3 linked regions of the Xenopus tropicalis genome follow. The protein of the gene in region 1 purifies or fractionates together with the protein of each later gene. This does not show direct contact. Links are inferred from orthologs where the notes say so. Each region holds a gene or a part of one and is shown on either strand. Other genes may lie near its edges.

Region 1 (6,387 bases):
CATTTCAGCTGCATTCAATTTAGTCACCTCTTTTAAGGCTTTATATAATGTGCAATTCTGATACACTAAGGACATAGACAATTTCCAAATACAATGTTCAAGAGCAAATATGTATGCTGCAGGTAATGTAATGTCTAACGCAGGGCAGAGGGGAGAGCTCCTACATTAGGACATTCACATTTCATGACAACCAGTGTTGGACTGATCCTCCTATGGCCCACCAGAGAAACTGACATTAAAAGCTCACTCTCACAGAAATTAGATCCATACAGTATTATATCTAATAGGTGTCTTGGGCTTATAGTGGAAATAATAAAAGCTGACTGGCCCTGAAGACAACTACAAGTGGTAGAACATAACATAAAAAATACATTAAAACAAATATAGAAAACACCTAAACCATATGTTTAAAGGGAAAACCTTCAGAGCCAAATGGTAACAAACTGTTCACTTAACCCTATAACCATCTGCAGGTGAATTCTGAACATTAGAAAAGTGTAGTTCAAGCAACTGAGTAAATTACTTCCCTATACTTTCCAATTAATGAATATACTTTAATGTACTTCTCTGTGGGTGGTAGTGAATAACTTCTCTACATGAAGTTAAGTGGCAAACTAAAAAAGAAGCACTATTTTCACAGCTTTAAAGGGCTACATCCATACAACTGCCTCATTACTACATAAAATTCACTAAAAAATATAAATATAAAACCAAGGGATTAAAGTCCAACATGTTTTATGATAACCCTTTCTTTCTATATTTCCTAAAATATGTATATGCTAGAGTTGAAGAGAGAGCAACAGGGTAGCCGCCTGGTATGGGTAATATATTGTACAGGCAATGGAAGATTTAGTCAGCAGTGGTGCAAATGTATGGCATGAGGCCATCAGGTCAACTTACAAAAGCAGAGAAACACAATTTCCTAACATTAGTTCAGAAAAAAACAAAGCTATGTGTTAAAGCAAGATTTCCCTAGCAAATGCACAGTTCAACAACACTGCAAAATACTTAGTATGTAAACACAATATAAATTGAACTGCTCATTCTAGTTTTTGGGTGAATTGCACTGCAGCTATATTTATAAATCAGATTGTTCTTGTATCATATTAAGCCAAGCATAGAGATGGATCCAGTTCAGAGTTTCGCATACCAGTGTAACTCAATTTATAATATGGTACTTCTCCAAGAAAAGACTGATATTACCTAATAAAATGCATCTTCCTGATACATTATTGTGCAGAAGAATAAAAAACCTGTTACAAGCTACACTCCCTACTAAGTGGACCCTGATTTTACTTTCTCCATATTTTCAACAATAAGTTAATACCAATGTCTGTTATGCACTGTCTAACTTTCAGCAGATTATCACATTAAATTTACAGATACTCTCAAATTGAAATACATCCTCTGCTGGTCACCAAATTAAAATAATCCAAAGGTTTACCCCCAAAAGTGACACCCATGGCTTATGACTCAACTTATAGGCATAATACTTATTTGCACTAACAATGCTTAGTCTGTAACGAGGTATAGTGTAAACAAAAAAAAAAAAAGCAAAAAAAGTTATTGAAGGGAAACATCCTTTAAGGACATACAAAAAAGTATTTTTTCACTTTTTCTGGTTGAGTTTCAGATGGACGGAATATGAAGTGCACCCTTCTCTAATAAACTTCCACTCCAGAAACCAATGTGGACAACGCTCTCATATTTAGCACTTCCAGCAAACAGGAGTTCCCCAAAGAGGCCTTTGCAACACCTGTGCTAAGCATGGAGCCGATAGATCAGGTGTGCCACAGTCTGTCTCTCTCTTGTGCTTAAGTTCATCAAAGCAACACACAACGGAAAAAGCTGCTTTTCTTAGAAGACTTCTCAGTTATTTTTACAGGACCTCCTCCACCCGGAGAGATGCTTTCATTCTGGAACATTAGAAAGAGAAGAGTGGGAAGATTATAACTTACAGGAGCATTTTTATTCATAGCTTTCCACAGTTCATAAAGCACTTTTATCTCTGATTTCAACACTATAAATCCACATGGTACAGCATACGTTGTACCCTATACATCAAAGTTAACCTTAGCCTTATAATAAGAAAAAAGTTTTTCCTGGTGTATTGCAAAAGATAAATAACTCCCTATGGTTGCTACACAAACACTGCTTTTGCGAATGTCATACAAACCATTTTTCTGTTGAGTTTTGTCATGATGTCTCTTGCCAGTGTGAAAAAAGCCTGAATAAAAACAAATTATGTTAGGTTTGCATGTTTCAGTACATACACATTAAAAACAGAAAGGGACAGCAAGAGTATGAGTGAGTGTTTGTAATAAAACTCTTCGGGCCCAGGCAAGCAGGATGTTTTGTTGCCCACCTGCATGGGTAACAAAAAGTTAACCTAAAGTTACCTTCCTACCCAAAGAACATAGGCATCACATAGCAGTCTGAACCTGCCTAGCATGGCTCCTTCGGGTCATTATGTGATACATATGTTTTCACAATAGGGGAAGACCCTGCTCACAAAAGCTTACATTCTAAGAGGGAGAGTGATTGAGACAAAAGGTGAGGGTAACCAGTGAGGCAGTAAAGTTCCTGTTGGTTTGTAAAGTGATGGTAAGAGATGAATACCCTTGGGGGTTAAGTGGGTAATCAAGTTGCTGAGGGCTTACATTATTGGCTTTTGGTTTTTATGAAATATTCCGTTTGCTTTGGTTTTCTGTACTCATCCAGTTCTCTAGCAATGAACTGTTTGGCTTGACAGGTAACCTAGTGGTAAGTTTGCCTTGCTTTATTATGTTTAAATACTAATGTATTTCAATAAAGGAGTCTATTTATTTTTTTTGCATATATATATATATTTTATGACTTTATTTGATTAATTTTCCATGTTTTATTATCTAATAAGCAATAATTAGAAAGGTATGATGGGGACAAGCCCAACAGAAGGTTTTCAGTTAGGCTCGCTGTGGCGGTAGGACCTTGCCAGAGCACTGCACAGGTGATTTTAGCAGAGGGAGAAAGGAGGTTCTGTCTCCACGGTGCATTGATAGATACAGATGCTACTACTGTTTGTGCTAGGTGACTTTTTCACAAAAAAAGCCTTTTATTGTAGTGGTTTAAGTTGTCCAAGGGTGGGGTTAAGATAAAATATCACTTTGCATTTTGTGGATAGCATAAGTTTAGACCAAAGCTATCACACTGCAAATTCACTAAAAACATAATTAGATGTGATGTGGGAGGAATTTACGCTGCATTTTTAGTCACCTCCAGCATTTACTAACAGGGAGCATCGGCTAACGCAAAGCTCAATACAGTGGTTTTGGAAAGACAATGCTGCTGGACAGCCAAGACCCACATGCAAATCATGGAGGAGTACATTCATTTTAAAATGGTAGAATTATAAAACCAACTAGCTCTGTTTTATTATCTCTTATATTTTTTAATCAGGTCCAAAAATATGGAGGATATTGGCTCACACAATGGAGCATGTTTACAACTGTTTGGGAAAAAGTATGTATACCAGCAAAATATTGGCACATTACATTCACAATGGTATAATTTTGATTTAAATATGCAATGTCACTGTAAAAAGAGATGTATTTATGCAAACTTTGGCGAGATAGACGAGTAGAAAATTCTCATTTTAGTAAATATGCACCTATGTGCAAAATACACTATTAATCTTGCCTTTACCTACCTCCTCCACATTGATACTGGACTTTGCACTGGTCTCAAGGAACTTGATCCCATAATCAATAGCAAGCTATAATGACAGAGAGAAAAATGAAAAACTTGAAAGTGACGGTCACCCCATTTACAAAGAAGAGCAGCATTGTACCCTGAGTTAGCAGCTTCTACAACACATTTACAATTACCTTTTCTCCTTTTTCTCTTGATACTTGTCTCTTGTCATTCATGTCACATTTATTTCCCAGAATCATCCTTTCTACATCAGAGGAGGCGTGCTGGGGAGATTGTTGAGAACGATGTTAGGAACTAACACTAAGGGGCACATTCACGAAAATGCGAGTTCGAATGGGACAAATTCGGATTGGACACGAAAATTTCTGAAGATCGCAAATATCACGAAAATGCTTACGACAAAAACGTATTAGTCACGAAAATGTCATATTGGCGATCCAAAAGTCATAAAATTTTCGTACCAAACGATTGTAAACAGCGGGAAAACCTTTCCGATTTTCTTGCGCAAGCGTATGAAAAAGTTGCGCAAGACACGGAAAATTCGGCGAATGAACGCTTCGAGCGTTCGTGTCTTAGGAAATGACCCCCTAAGTAAAAATTGGATGGTGAAAGGATTTGTGGCCCCATTGATTTACAACAGAATTTATACTACAGGCATTTGAGATCCCAAAAATACAGGCAAAGGATAAAAACAAAAGTGGAAAAGACTGCAACCACACACACACTTATCCAGCTTACACTTACTTCTTCAATGTTTCTTATCCAATTTTTTATGTTGTCAAATGATTTTTCATTGGTGATATCATAAACCAGCATAATGCCCTGAGGAAGAAAGCAGGAATGTTACTTATATCAATGGTTCGTATTTTACGCTCTAAACAAGGCAAAATTTACTGGAACCTTTATTTGGTAGTAAATCTTGTTTATTCACCCAAAACTTGCCATCAAGTCAGGAATTCAAAACTACCTACCTGGTTTTGGGGCACTGAGAGCAACATCCAAAGGGTTGGTGAGCAACATGTTGCCCCCAAGCCACTGGGGATCACTGCTTTCAACCAAGCTCAACTGTTTTTTTCCATCCTGTTCCTAATGATTTTTCTGGTGTAATAACTGAATGTGTGTTTGACAGGTCAGCTTCATTGGCTAATGCGAAGGATTACTGCATGCTTAATATTACAATTGTTTCATTGTTTGGTTAGTTCTTGAGAAAGCCTTTGCAATTTCATTTTCTCACAGAAGCAGGGCCACCATTACAATGCAACACTGAAAGAGAAACTGCCACATGCAGAGGTATGTTATCTCTATCAGTTACAGCACTGAATAAATCTGCTGGCTCAGACAACTGATAGCATAAAATAAACTGCAAGATAAGTATATACTGTAAGCAAGATACTACTTTTTATACCGGTTTATATTTAATATTATAAGTTAGGAGTGAATAAAGAGGAGGGCATATGTGGTCTGTGGAACATACTAGGCAAATATACTTTTCATGGTATTGAAAATTAATATTGTAATATTAACTAAACAGACTGTTGCATATTTACCATTGCCCCTCTGTAATATGCTGTAGTGATTGTACGGAATCTTTCCTGTCCTGCTGTATCCCTGAAAACAACCATAAAAATAATGTTTAGTGGCCTGAGAGGATTAGGCTCAACAGGAATGTGTGTAGTAAATGTCAATATTTTACTATGTCACCTAAATCAACTCCTTGATCTTACAATTCAACATACCAAATCTGAAGCTTTATCTTCTTGCCATCTAATTCTATAGTTCGGATCTTGAAGTCAATGCCTAAAAATATAGATACGTATAAAATAAAACATTAATTGTACGTGCACTGACCTACGTTATTCTTTTGCTGAGGCAGGAAATGGCTGCGTGCGTCACAGCCTGCAAAGAGACAAGAGACCACTTCCTGCAGTCCCAAACACATTAACCTGCTAGTATAATCTTCTCTACAAAAAAAAAAACACCCATTTAATAGGATAATTTGTATCACAGATCCATGGCATACTTTATGGCTCCTTCCATTATAATTATGCAAATATGTACGCATATTTAATAATTTCAAACAAGCCAAAAGTTTGCTTTTGGCCTAATAACTAGTAGTTATTTATAGGTCAGTTGTTTGAAAGAAAAAAAAAAGCAGTGGGGTAAAAATGTTGTCATATTATGTTTTGGGCTTCTCTACCAGTCCGAGGCAACCAATGTCCTTTAGCTGGGAAGATCTGTGCCTCTAAAGATGCCCCCAGTAGCTCCCCATGGGTGTGTGGGGGGTAGAATCGAGTCCAGGGCATGACATAGAAATAATTGTGTATGTATCACTTTGGAGAAGTAGATTTATTCTTAAATATATTGCATGTTCTATTTAATTCCCCTCCCTCTTTCATATAAATGCAACTTCCCCAGAAAGTAATGACATGTTATTTATAAACTATGTGCAAAGTAATTGAATCATTTTTATTTGTATAAATGAAGGTGCCATATGCCACATTTTGAAAGGTGATTCAATTAAAAGGAGAGATTACCAGAACTCTGTTATATTTATGTTCCTACTGTGATTTTATTATATGGGAGAGGGGTTCATTTACCTTGACGGCTAAGTATAAGTCGATGCAAAGGGGAAAATTTATCCAGAAGCTCTAATGGAAGAGTGAACCATTTTTTGGCCAATTCTTCATTAGAATT
Region 2 (6,387 bases), about 7.0 Mb from region 1:
GTCCGTAGTCAGTATTTATTAGGCACAACACTAAGCTCTTTCCCAGAGAGCACAAAGTGCTGCCTTGATCCCTATGCTAGCCATCTATTTCCTTTAGCTTTGCACCAATTCATCCTCCAGTTGCAAGCCAACTAAGTGTCTTGTGGATTCAACAGCAAATAATGCACACTTGATGTTCCGACTGTAAGCAACTAGCATTAGATTGCAAGCTTTTGAGAGCAGGGCACTTTGAAACCCTTGTTTGCTAAATTATTGTAAGATCAATGATGGCTATAAATCTATAGTCTGTATTCACCCACAGCTACCTATTCACCTAATATGCTTACAATGCATAGCAGAACATGTCATAAAACAGACCAACTTACTTTTGCTCGATGGGCTCCAGGAGTTCCAGAACAGGCTTGATCTCTCTCTCTGGGTCATTCGTTTCAACAGTAGTGCTGACTATTGCAATATATTTTCCTTGTGCAGCCACATTGTGAGCATATGAGATCATGCACACATAGATGTCTTGTGCAAGAAAAAAAGCAAATAAATGCACATGCATTATTGAAAATTAACTGGAAAAAAATCATTGCAACAGGTTTGCTTTTGCCTGTATAATAAGGTAACAATACACTCTATATTTACATCTGGCATTTTTTCTGCAAGCTGTACTTGTCAGTGCAGTTTTACAGAGGTGCTTAAAGGAACAGTAACATCAAAAAATTAAAGTGTTTTAAAGTAATTAAAATATAATGTGCTGTTGCTCTGCAAAAATCTGGTGTTTTGCTTCAGAAAAGCTACTATATAAATAAGCTGCTGTGTAGCCATTGAAGCTGGAGAAAAGGCACAGGTTACATAGCAGATAACAGATAAACCCTCATTATATGGGGCTTATCTACTAGTTATCTGCTTAGTAACCTGTGCCTTTTCTCCTTTGAATGGCTGCCCCCATGGCTACACAGCAGCTAACTTATATAAACTATAGTAGTCTTTCTGAGGCAAACACACCAGTTGTAGCAATGCAGGGCAACAGTACATTATATTGTAATTACTTTTATACACTTTCACTTTTTGGTGTTACTGTTCCTTTAAGGAAGTGAACACAGGCTGAAAGCAGCGGAGCAAATGCTCGGTGTGCCCTCAGCTTTAGAAAGCTGGGCTACTGGTACCTGTACTTATCTGTCCAACTATAGTCACATGCAGAGAGCACACAAACAAGTGCAACACTGATTAGCATCTCAATGATTTTGCCTGGATGTGCTTTGGGGGGTGAATTTGTTGCCTAAATATACTTCCCACTAAACCAAAATCCATGCCATAAAAAATAAAAGGTAACAATACATCTGCCAAATTTCATGCAAGGAATGTAACACTAATAGAGTGTACTCTCTGCTAAGTACTGTGCTCAATTCACTTCCTGTTGTGCCCTGCTCTCTCTGTTTCTCTCTGTATTCTGCTTTCAATTTTGTCAAACAGTAAAATCTATTAACTTATCAACTTGCTTCAATGCAAGGCATTTGTACTTCAGTCTCCTACATTACACCTTTATCTATAACCAGTGGCAGAGAAGGCCTACCTGGTTGATACCTCTGACAAGGTATATCTGATAAGATATCTTAAAAAGATGATGACTTTTCCCAAACCAAAGTTGTATACACACAGACTACTGCCAAAGAAGAAACATCTATTTTGGGCATGAAACCATCAGTATCTAAACTTTCTAAATTGGGGACCTTTCCCTGGGAAATGTTAATCCATCATAGTTTAGCCTAAGAAATCGCTCATTTTTCCTCTATCAACTTTGCAACAAATCTACACAATGTAAATATTAACATGGAGTTATAAAAGAAATGAGGCATAATATATACTGGCATTGTAAAAAAAAAAAATTTTTAGTAGGCCCTGTAGTGTCTCTGCTGCTTCCTCTTCCTTCTCTGCCTGCTTAACTCCGGTGTTAGTTCTATAGCTCATTTTAATCATTTTGTGAAACTCACATGTTTTTGTTCTTACAGTCTTCTGATGTGATTACATTATAAATCAGTGCAACACACTTCGCCCCCCATACACATATTATAAGCCCCTTAGTGCCTCTGTCCTTCCCTGGCCTGTAATTCTTCTCTCTGTCCTCATTTCCCCCTGCCTGCTTCTCTCTGGTGCAACATATTTCAAAATTTACCTACTTCTTGTGAAACTCACCAGATTTTCTGTTGACTTGATTCTGTGGAATGATAATCTGACAAGAATTGGCATCGTTCGTGTTCTTTATTGGATGGCTCAGAATACAAATTACACGGATGACCTGTCCTACTTTAGTGACCCGATCTGAAACGTAACTTGGATCACATATCAGCTGCTTGCATCGTGCCACCTGCAAAATCAAAAAAGCCCTTGTGAAACAATTTTTTCAAATTTGATGGTGTTTTTTTTTACCTCCAGTGTAGGACACCCATGGGTGCAAAACCTATATATGGGTTGGAGGGAGGAGACATTTATTGGGGTACCATGGATTCTATATGCAATATTTTTTATAAACATTATGTGGATGATCTTTTGCTTGCATGGCAGGGATCTGAGATTGATTTTTGGGATTTTGTAAATTCTCTGAATAATAACACTTTGAATTTGAGCTTCACCAGCAAGTTTAATAGAACTTACATTTTCTTTTTGGATTTAAAGTTGTCTCTGATTTTAGGGTTGAAACTATATTTAGGAAGGCCTGTGCTGGTAATTTACTCGTAAGGGCTGATTCTGTCATCCCAGCCTTTTGTTTAGAGGGATCCCTTTAGGACAATTCTACAGGATACGGAGAAATTGTAGTACCATGGAGGCCTACATTGAACAGGCCTGTCTCTTGCGAGATAGGTTTATGGATCGTGGCTACAAAATGAGGTCTCTTTCAGCAGCCTTTACTAAGGCATAACAAACTGATAGAATGGAATTGCTTAAAAACATAGATAAAAGTAATAATCAAAATATAAATAATAATAAGATTTGTAGAAACACCGATTTTTGTTACTACATATAGCAATCAGTTTTATAGGATTAGGAGGATCTTCAATAGCCTTATACCTGTTCTTTACAATGATCCCCTTATAGCGACAATTTTGCAAGGGGGATATAAGTTTGTAGCACGTAAAGCTCTAACTTTGGGTAATGTTCTCTCTGGCACACTATGGAAGTCACACCCAACTAGAACTACGTGGTTAGCGACTACAGGGCGTATCCCTGGGGCGCACGTATACATTTCACTTGTGCCTATATAAAACAGTCTACTTCTTTCCAGAGTTCAGTGACAGGCAGATATTTTAACATGCGTATGTATGCAAATTGCAACACACAGTATTTTGTGTATCTTTTGACCTGCTCGCATTGTAATATCCAATACGTTGGCTGCATGATCCGGACTTTAAAAAGCAGGATGTGTGAACACGTTAGACACATAGTAACAGTCCTATATCTTGACACTTTATACAATGTTGTGAGGTCAATGTACCTTTAGACAACGGTGAGCTCTTTATAAATGCTGAACTGATTTGCTTGTTGGTGACTCTTCTGCTTGCCATTCATTTAGGAGACAGACCCGGGGTATTGACGGCCGGGTCTCCACTATACATTTGGTACGATGTTTCGCTTTTGGCATTAGCAGACTCGTTTACTGATTTATATCTAATTTAATTTTGTGCAAATATTTTGTGTTTCTTTAATTCTGAGTCTTGTGAAACCAATGTCAAGCTTACTTTTTACACATCTCCATGAAATGCCTTTAACTCTCAATGAAGAGTACAGATGTGAATCCTTAAAAAACATACAAAACTGTAGGAAGCCAGACCAAAGTCATAATACAACGGTTCAAATTAGGCTGTGTATATCTCACATATTTAAGGTAGAGCTACAATGGTATTATTTGTAATTTTAGAAAAAAATGCACATTTTTCCCCAGATGTGAACTCTCTACTTGGCAATTGAAACACTGTTTTCTTTCTTCTGTAGAAAGATATGGCAGAAGCATTCGGAAAGCTAACAGTAGCGTTCTGACCCGAGCTGATGTCAGATCTTGCCCATATTTGTGCAACAAGCAGGGCGTTTGTCTGCAAGCGTTACTACAGCCCACATATGCCAAGAAATCCAATGCAGCACCCACAGCAGAGGAGGAGAGAATTGCATATTGAGAGGGGAAGCCCTTTACATATTTAAAACATTCACAGTCCTTGGTTTAGTTTAAAGTAAATTATAAGGCAAAAACAGTGTATGCAGTTTATTTGCTACAGCAAATACAAATAGCTAGATACAACTTTACAGTGCTTGCCGTTATCATAACCAATCCATGCAAAAAAATTGCAAAATAGGGCAGAAAGCACTATTTAAAGCTAAATGCATAACCTTATGACTTCATGACTCTCACATGTCCGTTAGATGCCAGATCTAACAGATAAGCTGCATAGTTTCCCATTGTATTCTACAGAGTAGAGTCCTGCATTAGGTCACTTTCGTTCAGCACAATGCTTAGGGGCAGATTCATCAATCAATAGAGCTCAATACATCACACCTATGGGATTTTTTAAAAGCATATTTATCAATAATTGAAAGTTAGAGTTGAACTGAAATTTAGAAAATCCCAAAAGGAAAAAAAAAATAGAACGTGGGTGAGTTTTTATGTAAACTCACATTTTAATAAAGCTGCCCCTTACTGTGTTGGAGCACAGTAAGTAACCTGTGCAGTTTCAGGGTCCAGAATTTAAACAAGCTGACCAATACCTAAGGTCAATAAACAATAAAGGCTTCATATACTTAACAGAACATTTTAGGTAATCTTCTACAATCCCTTTGTTTTCATCAATATAGGATAAAATAATGTACTCCCATTATTACGGTTACCAGAGAATTGCTAACACCTGCACAGAAACATGGCAAAAGTAATAACATAAATGCATAACAACGTACCTCCCCTTCTGATTTCACACCAACAATTTTGCCATTCTCCATCACCAGCTCTTCTATTGGTTTGTTCAACATATATGTCCCACCATAAATGGCACTCAGTCTGGAAAACAGAATGAGGGACTTAATGAAGGGCAATAACAGGTAGGCAAACTACAATCTAATTTTCCAGCCCATTACCAGCTTTTTATTTTTTAAAGGAAAACCATACAGGACAAGATTGACAGTCAAAGATGGTTAGGGTCTCTTCATAAAGGTTTACAGTCTACAGAATGTCAGGTAGAAAAATAATGTGAACTTTGGAACAAAAATGATAGCATAATATAATGGATATGAACAAAGGAAATGTTAGGCCATAGGGTATAGCAGTGTAAAACACAGGATGTGTGCTGAATCTAAAATGCAAAGGGTAATATTTATACAGTCTATTAACAAAAGCTGCTTACAGGCACAATCCGCTCCATGTAAGGGGGAAAAAAATTGGAAAATTCAAGTATTATTAGCAGGTAAAACATCAGTAAATATTCTGTTTTTACAGTCTGTAACTGAAAACAAATTTTTATCTATTTTAAGATGAATCTCGAGATTGATAAGATAATGGGTCTCAATGTCTTACCTTGCAAAACCTTGTGGCAGCTCTCCAAGGCCATAAAGTGGATAAAGGTAAGGGCTTTTGCCATATCGAGCAAGAGATTCACTATACAATTTAATCCGGTTTATTGTCTCAAGACAGGGCTGGTCCAGATATCTAGAGAAAAACAGGAATTGTGGTATTACTCAAGAGGACAAAAGATTTGTTGTCTAGGAAGAATTGTCAGAATTTTGCACAAGACATGTCCTCATATTAAAAAAAAAAACCCTGCCTGACAAACAGCCTGACCAAGAATTTTGAAAATAAATAACAAGGAATCACATTTTGTCAAGAGATTAAACAGGTGCTCAGGCCTTGAATGTCCACTTTTTTCTCTGAGGATCAGATCCTCTAAAGCAGAGGTTTTAAAACATTTTAGGATCAAGACCTCTGTTAAGCAGTAGTGATTTGGCCCCCATTCATTTAGTGAGGTTACAGATGATGTAAAAATATGTTTGTAACAAGGCACATTGTTAAAGTGCCAGAGATATCCACTATATTTACCCCTAACAAGCCTATATATGCTAGCCTCCCCACACCCCCACATTTTAATCACCTAAAGTAAGAGTGTGAGGCAGACCCAAAGTATGGAAATTACTACTATAGAAATATATAGAAATTTGTACTCTATGTGCTGCAAATTGTTGGCTGAGTTTTTATATAAAGTTCAAAATGTACATAGGAAATGCAGACAGATTATATTGTATTAAATAAAATGAATAAAACTAACTTACTCATCAGTCCTATAGAGTGCTAGAGCGTGACCTGTAAAGTCAATTACATCCTGGCCCAAATCAAACTTCTTGTAGACATCTCGCATTGTTGTTTTCTTT
Region 3 (6,387 bases), on another chromosome or scaffold:
CTTATCATGGCTTCCCATAACCTTCCCCCCCACTCCTCTGCCCCTCACCCCATCTCTTGTGTCTCTATACGTTCCTGGCCGATTCCTTCGCTCCTCTCAGAGCAGCTGCTTGGTTGTAACCCCATTACTACTGCCATTTTAACGCTTTGTGCCTTGCTACCCCTTACATTGGGAATGGCACCCTGAATTCTCCCGGTGAGAATCCCCCCTCAGAACGAAACTCACAGACCCCCTCTTGGGGCACTTGCACAGCCCCTAATCTGGGAACTGGAACTTATATAGCTGTTTACCCACCGTAACCTGCAGCAGTTCACTTAGATCGTTAGCTCTATGGGGTAGGGATCTCCATCTTCTTGTCTCTTTGATCTCTAATGTAACTGCATTTGTTTTTATTTGTATTTATTATTGTTCATTACTGTACATCTAAGGAAACATGTATCTAAGGAAACATGTTAGGGTTACACACATACATGTGACCAATACGGGTAAGTAGTACATTACAGAGAGTACACTCTAACCCTAATACCCCGGCTGATGTGTTTCTGCCGTAGGCTAAGTGCAATATATGGAGGAACCTACATGCTGAACAAATCCGTGGATGAGATTGTAATGGAGAAAGGCCGAGTGGTTGGCGTTAAATCAGAGGGAGAGGTAAGGTTTTAGGGGCATTTTCAGTAAGTCAGAATTTCAGTGGGGTTGTTAGAAGGGTTGCAGTCAAGGCTGTTAGTGGGTTCAGGTCCCCATGGCTTCTCACTGTCACATCTAGCTCTACTGCCATTGTCTTGCCCTGCTGCATTGCTTTTGCCTCAAAGTATCTGTCTTGCCCTTGTTGCCATCTTGCAGTGCCGTCACCACCTTCCTCTAATGTCTGCATCCTGTTTCCATCTTGTCCTGCTATCTGTGTCATCTGTGTCTGTGCCATATTGGCTCACTTGTCTACATCTTCTCTCCATCTTGCCCAGCTGTCTCCATCTTGTACTGTTGTGTTCCATCTTGCCATACTGTCTCCATCTTGTCCTACTGTCTTTATTTTGCATCTGTCTCCATCTTGCCCTACTGTCCCCATCTTGCCCTACTGTCCCCATCTTGCCCTACTGTCCCCATCTTGCCCTGCTCTCTCAATCTTGCCTTACTCTCTCCATTTTGCCCTGCTCTCTCAATCTTGCCTTACTCTCTCCATCTTGCCCTACTGTCTCCATCTTGCCCTGCTGTCTCCATCTTGCCTTACTCTCTCCATCTTGCCCTACTGTCTCCATCTTGCCCTACTGTCTCCATCTTGCCCTGCTGTCTCCATCTTGCTCTACTGTCCCCATCTTGTCCTACTGTCCCCATCTTGTCCTACTGTCCCCATCTTGTCCTACTGTACCCATCTTGCCCTACTGTCTCCATCTTGCCCTACTGTCCCCATCTTGCCCTACTGTCCCCATCTTGTCCTTCTGTCCCCATCTTGTCCTTCTGTCCCCATCTTGTCCTACTGTCCCCATCTTGTCCTACAGTCCCCATCTTGTCCTACTGTCCCCATCTTGTCCTACTGTCCCCATCTTGCCCTACTGTCTCCATCTTGCCCTACTGTCCCCATCTTGCCCTACTGTCTCCATCTTGCCCTACTGTCTCCATCTTGCCTTACTGTCTCCATCTTGCCTTACTGTCCCCATCTTGCCCTACTGTCTCCATCTTGCCTTACTGTCTCCATCTTGCCCTACTGTCCCCATCTTGCCCTACTGTCCCCATCTTGCCCTACTGTCCCCATCTTGCCCTACTGTCCCCATCTTGCCCTACTGTCTCCATCTTGCCCTACTGTCCCCATCTTGCCCTACTGTCTCCATCTTGCCCTACTGTCTCCATCAGTCCCCGTCTTGCCCTACATTACCCATGCCATACTGTCTGTTCCCAGCACAGCTAAGCCTGACAATTGGAGGAAGCCATCTTTATGAGTTGTTGTGCCTGTAGGTGGCGCGGTGCAAGCAGCTGATCTGTGACCCCAGTTACGTTGCTGATCGGGTGCGCAAGGCGGGACAGGTTATCCGCGTCATCTGCGTCTTGAACCATCCCATTAAGAATACGAATGATGCTAATTCCTGCCAAATTATCATCCCCCAGAACCAGGTCAACAGAAAATCAGGTGAGACAAAGGGTTAAGGAGTAATATGGAGTCACATGACTGGGGGAGACTGGCAAATCAGAATGAAGCTGTCCTGGAGCGCTGGGTCTGGGTGCCAAGGTGCCTGTGGGGAAGGGATGAGAGGGGGAGTTGGGTTGGCACACTGTGGGCTTCCGAGCATGGGGGGCATGGGAAGAGTGAGGGGCTCAGGTGAATGTTTAACCCTCGCCTTGCAGATATTTACGTGTGCATGATCTCCTACGCACACAACGTGGCGGCTCAGGGCAAGTACATTGCAATTGTCAGCACCACGGTGGAGACGGCGGAGCCGGAGAAAGAGATTGAACCGGCGCTGGAACTCTTGGAGCCCATCGATCAGAAGTGAGTGCTTAACCCCTTGTGTGTCCATATAGCCATACGCACACACAGCGGGACAGTTGGCAAGTAGGAAGCATAGAATAACGTGAATAGCGGGGTACACCTTTGTGTTTAATAGACACACCTTTGGGGGTACCATGTGGGGTGTGGGATCTCAGTGCGCGGATTGGTCACATGAAATGGACATTAGAGAGCTTCGGGCAATACACTGATTAACCTGTTCAGGGTCTCGGGGTGGGACTTTAGCTGCTATTGGTGCTGTGCCCAGGGTGAATGAATGGATCGCGCTAACAGAACTGGCCTCTGGGCCTCAGATCCGGAGATTTCATGCAATGTTTCCTATTACAGGTTTGTGGCTATTAGTGATCTGTTTGAATCCATTGAGGATGGGACAGAAAGCCAAGTAAGTGTTTGGGATCTGGGATTGGGCTCAGCTCTTTGTACTGACAGAGCAGGTCCAGTTACTATGCAGAAGGAACGTTAACTATTTCCTCTCCCTCGTAGGTTTTCTGCTCCCGCTCCTATGATGCCACCACACACTTTGAGACCACGTGCAATGACATCAAGGACATCTACAAGAGGATGACGGGCACAGACTTTGACTTTGAGAACATGAAACGCAAACAGAATGATGTTTTTGGGGAGGATGAGCAGTGAGGAGATGAAGGGGGGTCAATCAGTTGGGGGGACGAGACAGACGGGGGTACAGTACAGGGGATTGTTTGGGGGGGTTTGGTACAAGAGAACTCTGCTAGTAGGAGAAATGGGGTGAATGGCAGAAGGCATGTACTTTGGGCTGGGGGGGCGCTGGAAAGGAAGAATTCATTTTTGGGGGGCAGAGGATAAAGAAAACACCAGCTGGTAGGAGTGGGCAAGGGCAATTATAAGGGAAAGAGAAAGCTTCCATATTGTTTTTGTCATCATAACCCCCAGTTTAACTTCTTAAGCCTCTTGCTCCTTGCTATGAGCCCTGATGTTGGCACAACCCTAATGCTGGCACTCTGTAGCACTGGCATCGCAAAAAGATGTGTCTGAGAAATGAAGCTGCTTACTCTCACCCATGCCTGTGCCCCGAGCCCATTCCTCAGCATCTTCTTTGCCCTGTGCCCACAGACTGGCAGAGAAAGCTATATATAATAATGAGTCAGGTAGGCCCCTCATTCCCATATGCCAGCTGTTTGTCCCATGCCCACAGACTGGCAGAGAACACTATATAATAATGAGTCAGGTAGGCCCCTCATTCCTGTATGCCAGCTGTTTGTCCCATGCCCACAGACTGGCAGAGAACACTATATAATAATGAGTCAGGTAGGCCCCTCATTCCTGTATGCCAGCTGTTTGTCCCATGCCCACAGACTGGCAGAGAACACTATATAATAATGAGTCAGGTAGGCCCCTCATTCCTGTATGCCAGCTGTTTGTCCCATGCCCACAGACTGGCAGAGAACACTATATAATAATGAGTCAGGTAGGCCCCTCATTCCTGTATGCCAGCTGTTTGTCCCATGCCCACAGACTGGCAGAGAACACTATATAATAATGAGTCAGGTAGGCCCCTCATTCCTGTATGCCAGCTGTTTGTCCCATGCCCACAGACTGGCAGAGAACACTATATAATAATGAGTCAGGTAGGCCCCTCATTCCTGTATGCCAGCTGTTTGTCCCATTCCCACAGACTGGCAGAGAACACTATATAATAATGAGTCAGGTAGGCCCCTCATTCCTGTATGCCAGCTGTTTGTCCCATGCCCACAGACTGGCAGAGAACACTATATAATAATGAGTCAGGTAGGCCCCTGATTCCTGTATGCCAGCTCTGTGCCCAATGCCCACAGACTGGCAGAGAACACTATCTCATATTAACCCTTTTTGTTGTTAATCGTGACTTAAAAAGTTAAACTGAGATCCCTTTTCCCTGTTAGTAATTTATTAAGTTAATTTATTAGAGAGATAGAAATGGTGAAATGGGAAAGCCGGTTACATGGAACCCAGGAATGGAGGAACAGAGTATCAGACATTGTAGCCCAGTTTGCATTCTCTAGAACTTTCTGTGTTCTGGTTCTTTCCTCTCTGATAATATTCCGCTCTCTGCATTGTCCCCCCCCCCGAGGGTCTCACAGTTTCACCTTCATTCCTGTATTTGGCTGAATCACAACATATTACAAAATGGAAACTCTGTGTCATGTCATTCTCTGTACATCTGTCCCATAACGTGTGAGAGTCCGTGGTACCGGTCCTGATATGTGGCAGAATGAGTGGGTCTGTCCTTTGTATGAACAGCCGCTGCTCAGACAGTGGGGAGGTGTAGGTGTGAGTCCGTGGTACCGGTCCTGTTCAGGGGCAGAATGAGTGGGTCTGTCCTTTGTATGAACAGCCGCTGCTCAGACAGTGGGGAGGTGTAGGTGTGAGTCCGTGGTACCGGTGCTGTTCAGGGGCAGAATGAGTGGGTCTGTCCTTTGTATGAACAGCCGCTGCTCAGACAGTGGGGAGGTGTAGGTGTGAGTCCGTGGTACCGGTGCTGTTCAGGGGCAGAATGAGTGGGTCTGTCCTTTGTATGAACAGCCGCTGCTCAGACAGTGGGGAGGTGTAGGTGTGAGTCCGTGGTACCGGTCCTGTTCAGGGGCAGAATGAGTGGGTCTGTCCTTTGTATGAACAGCCGCTGCTCAGACAGTGGGGAGGTGTAGGTGTGAGTCCGTGGTACCGGTGCTGTTCAGGGGCAGAATGAGTGGGTCTGTCCTTTGTATGAACAGCCGCTGCTCAGACAGTGGGGAGGTGTGGGTGTGAGTCCGTGGTACCGGTGCTGTTCAGGGGCAGAATGAGTGGGTCTGTCCTTTGTATGAACAGCCGCTGCTCAGACAGTGGGGAGGTGTAGGTGTGAGTCCGTGGTACCGGTCCTGTTCAGGGGCAGAATGAGTGGGACTGTCCTTTGTATGAACAGCCGCTGCTCAGACAGTGGGGAGGTGTAGGTGTGAGTCCGTGGTACCGGTCCTGTTCAGGGGCAGAATGAGTGGGTCTGTCCTTTGTATGAACAGCCGCTGCTCAGACAGTGGGGAGGTGTAGGTGTGAGTCCGTGGTACCGGTGCTGTTCAGGGGCAGAATGAGTGGGTCTGTCCTTTGTATGAACAGCCGCTGCTCAGACAGTGGGGAGGTGTAGGTGTGAGTCTGTGGTACCGGTGCTGTTCAGGGGCAGAATGAGTGGGTCTGTCCTTTGTATGAACAGCCGCTGCTCAGACAGTGGGGAGGTGTAGGTGTGAGTCCGTGGTACCGGTGCTGTTCAGGGGCAGGGTGCAAGGTGTGGATGAGGAGCTGGCTCTCTAGGTACCTAAAGCAGGGGTGCACCATTGGATTTTAGGGTAAGACAATAATCACATGATGTGCAGTTTGGGTTGCACTGTGGGAAGGGAGTGCTGTACTGGGCCGTGGGCAGAACCGGCTGGAGTGGGAGAGTAGAACGTGTGGGAGCCGCAGGGGGAGGAGAGCAAACAGCAGTGTTTACCCGGCGCTGAGAGCAGCAGGACGCACATCCAGGTCTCCAAACACTAAGTATTGTCCCAGTACTGTCATGTGATCAGCTTGGGGCAATAAAGGCAAAGAAATGTACAGAGTGACACCTTATGCACACATAGATTTAAGTACCCCCCCATTGTAATACTGCCCTACACCCCCCATATTACTTCTGCCCTACACCCCCCATATTACTTCTGCCCTACACCCCCATCCTACTTCTGCCCTACACCCCCATCCTACTTCTGCCCTACACCCCCCATCCTACTTCTGCCCTACACCCCCCATCCTACTTCTGCCCTATACCCCCCATATTACTTCTGCCCTACACCCCCATCCTACTTCTGCCCTACACCCCCCCATCCTACTTCTGCCCTATACCCCCCATATTACTTCTGCCCTAC

The links. Proteins that work in one complex are often made in the same cells at the same time.
Region 2: the proteins of rab8b (region 1) and gdi2 purify together in Homo sapiens (affinity purification with mass spectrometry; 3 studies listed by BioGRID and IntAct, with this or other methods). This does not show direct contact. The link is inferred for Xenopus tropicalis from reciprocal best matches to the Homo sapiens genes RAB8B and GDI2.
Region 3: the proteins of rab8b (region 1) and gdi1 purify together in Homo sapiens (affinity purification with mass spectrometry; 3 studies listed by BioGRID and IntAct, counting the BioPlex papers as one, with this or other methods). This does not show direct contact. The link is inferred for Xenopus tropicalis from reciprocal best matches to the Homo sapiens genes RAB8B and GDI1.

Annotation. Positions count from the first base shown.
Region 1 is NC_030679.2:91,486,939-91,493,325, forward strand, and holds part of rab8b (ras-related protein Rab-8B), read right to left. Parts: intron 5,491-6,387; coding exon 5,430-5,490; intron 5,302-5,429; coding exon 5,241-5,301; intron 4,516-5,240; coding exon 4,438-4,515; intron 3,957-4,437; coding exon 3,867-3,956; intron 3,755-3,866; coding exon 3,689-3,754; intron 2,228-3,688; coding exon 2,177-2,227; intron 1,917-2,176; coding exon 1,824-1,916; 3' UTR 1-1,823. UniProt on the Homo sapiens protein: The small GTPases Rab are key regulators of intracellular membrane trafficking, from the formation of transport vesicles to their fusion with membranes.
Region 2 is NC_030679.2:84,471,891-84,478,277, reverse strand, and holds part of gdi2 (rab GDP dissociation inhibitor beta), read right to left. Parts: coding exon 6,289-6,387; intron 5,672-6,288; coding exon 5,540-5,671; intron 5,027-5,539; coding exon 4,927-5,026; intron 2,354-4,926; coding exon 2,182-2,353; intron 511-2,181; coding exon 366-510; intron 1-365. UniProt on the Homo sapiens protein: GDP-dissociation inhibitor preventing the GDP to GTP exchange of most Rab proteins. By keeping these small GTPases in their inactive GDP-bound form regulates intracellular membrane trafficking.
Region 3 is NC_030684.2:155,947-162,333, forward strand, and holds the end of gdi1 (rab GDP dissociation inhibitor alpha), read left to right. Parts: intron 1-551; coding exon 552-651; intron 652-1,950; coding exon 1,951-2,122; intron 2,123-2,337; coding exon 2,338-2,482; intron 2,483-2,827; coding exon 2,828-2,882; intron 2,883-2,983; coding exon 2,984-3,136; 3' UTR 3,137-4,657; downstream 4,658-6,387. UniProt on the Homo sapiens protein: Regulates the GDP/GTP exchange reaction of most Rab proteins by inhibiting the dissociation of GDP from them, and the subsequent binding of GTP to them. Promotes the dissociation of GDP-bound Rab proteins from the membrane and inhibits their activation.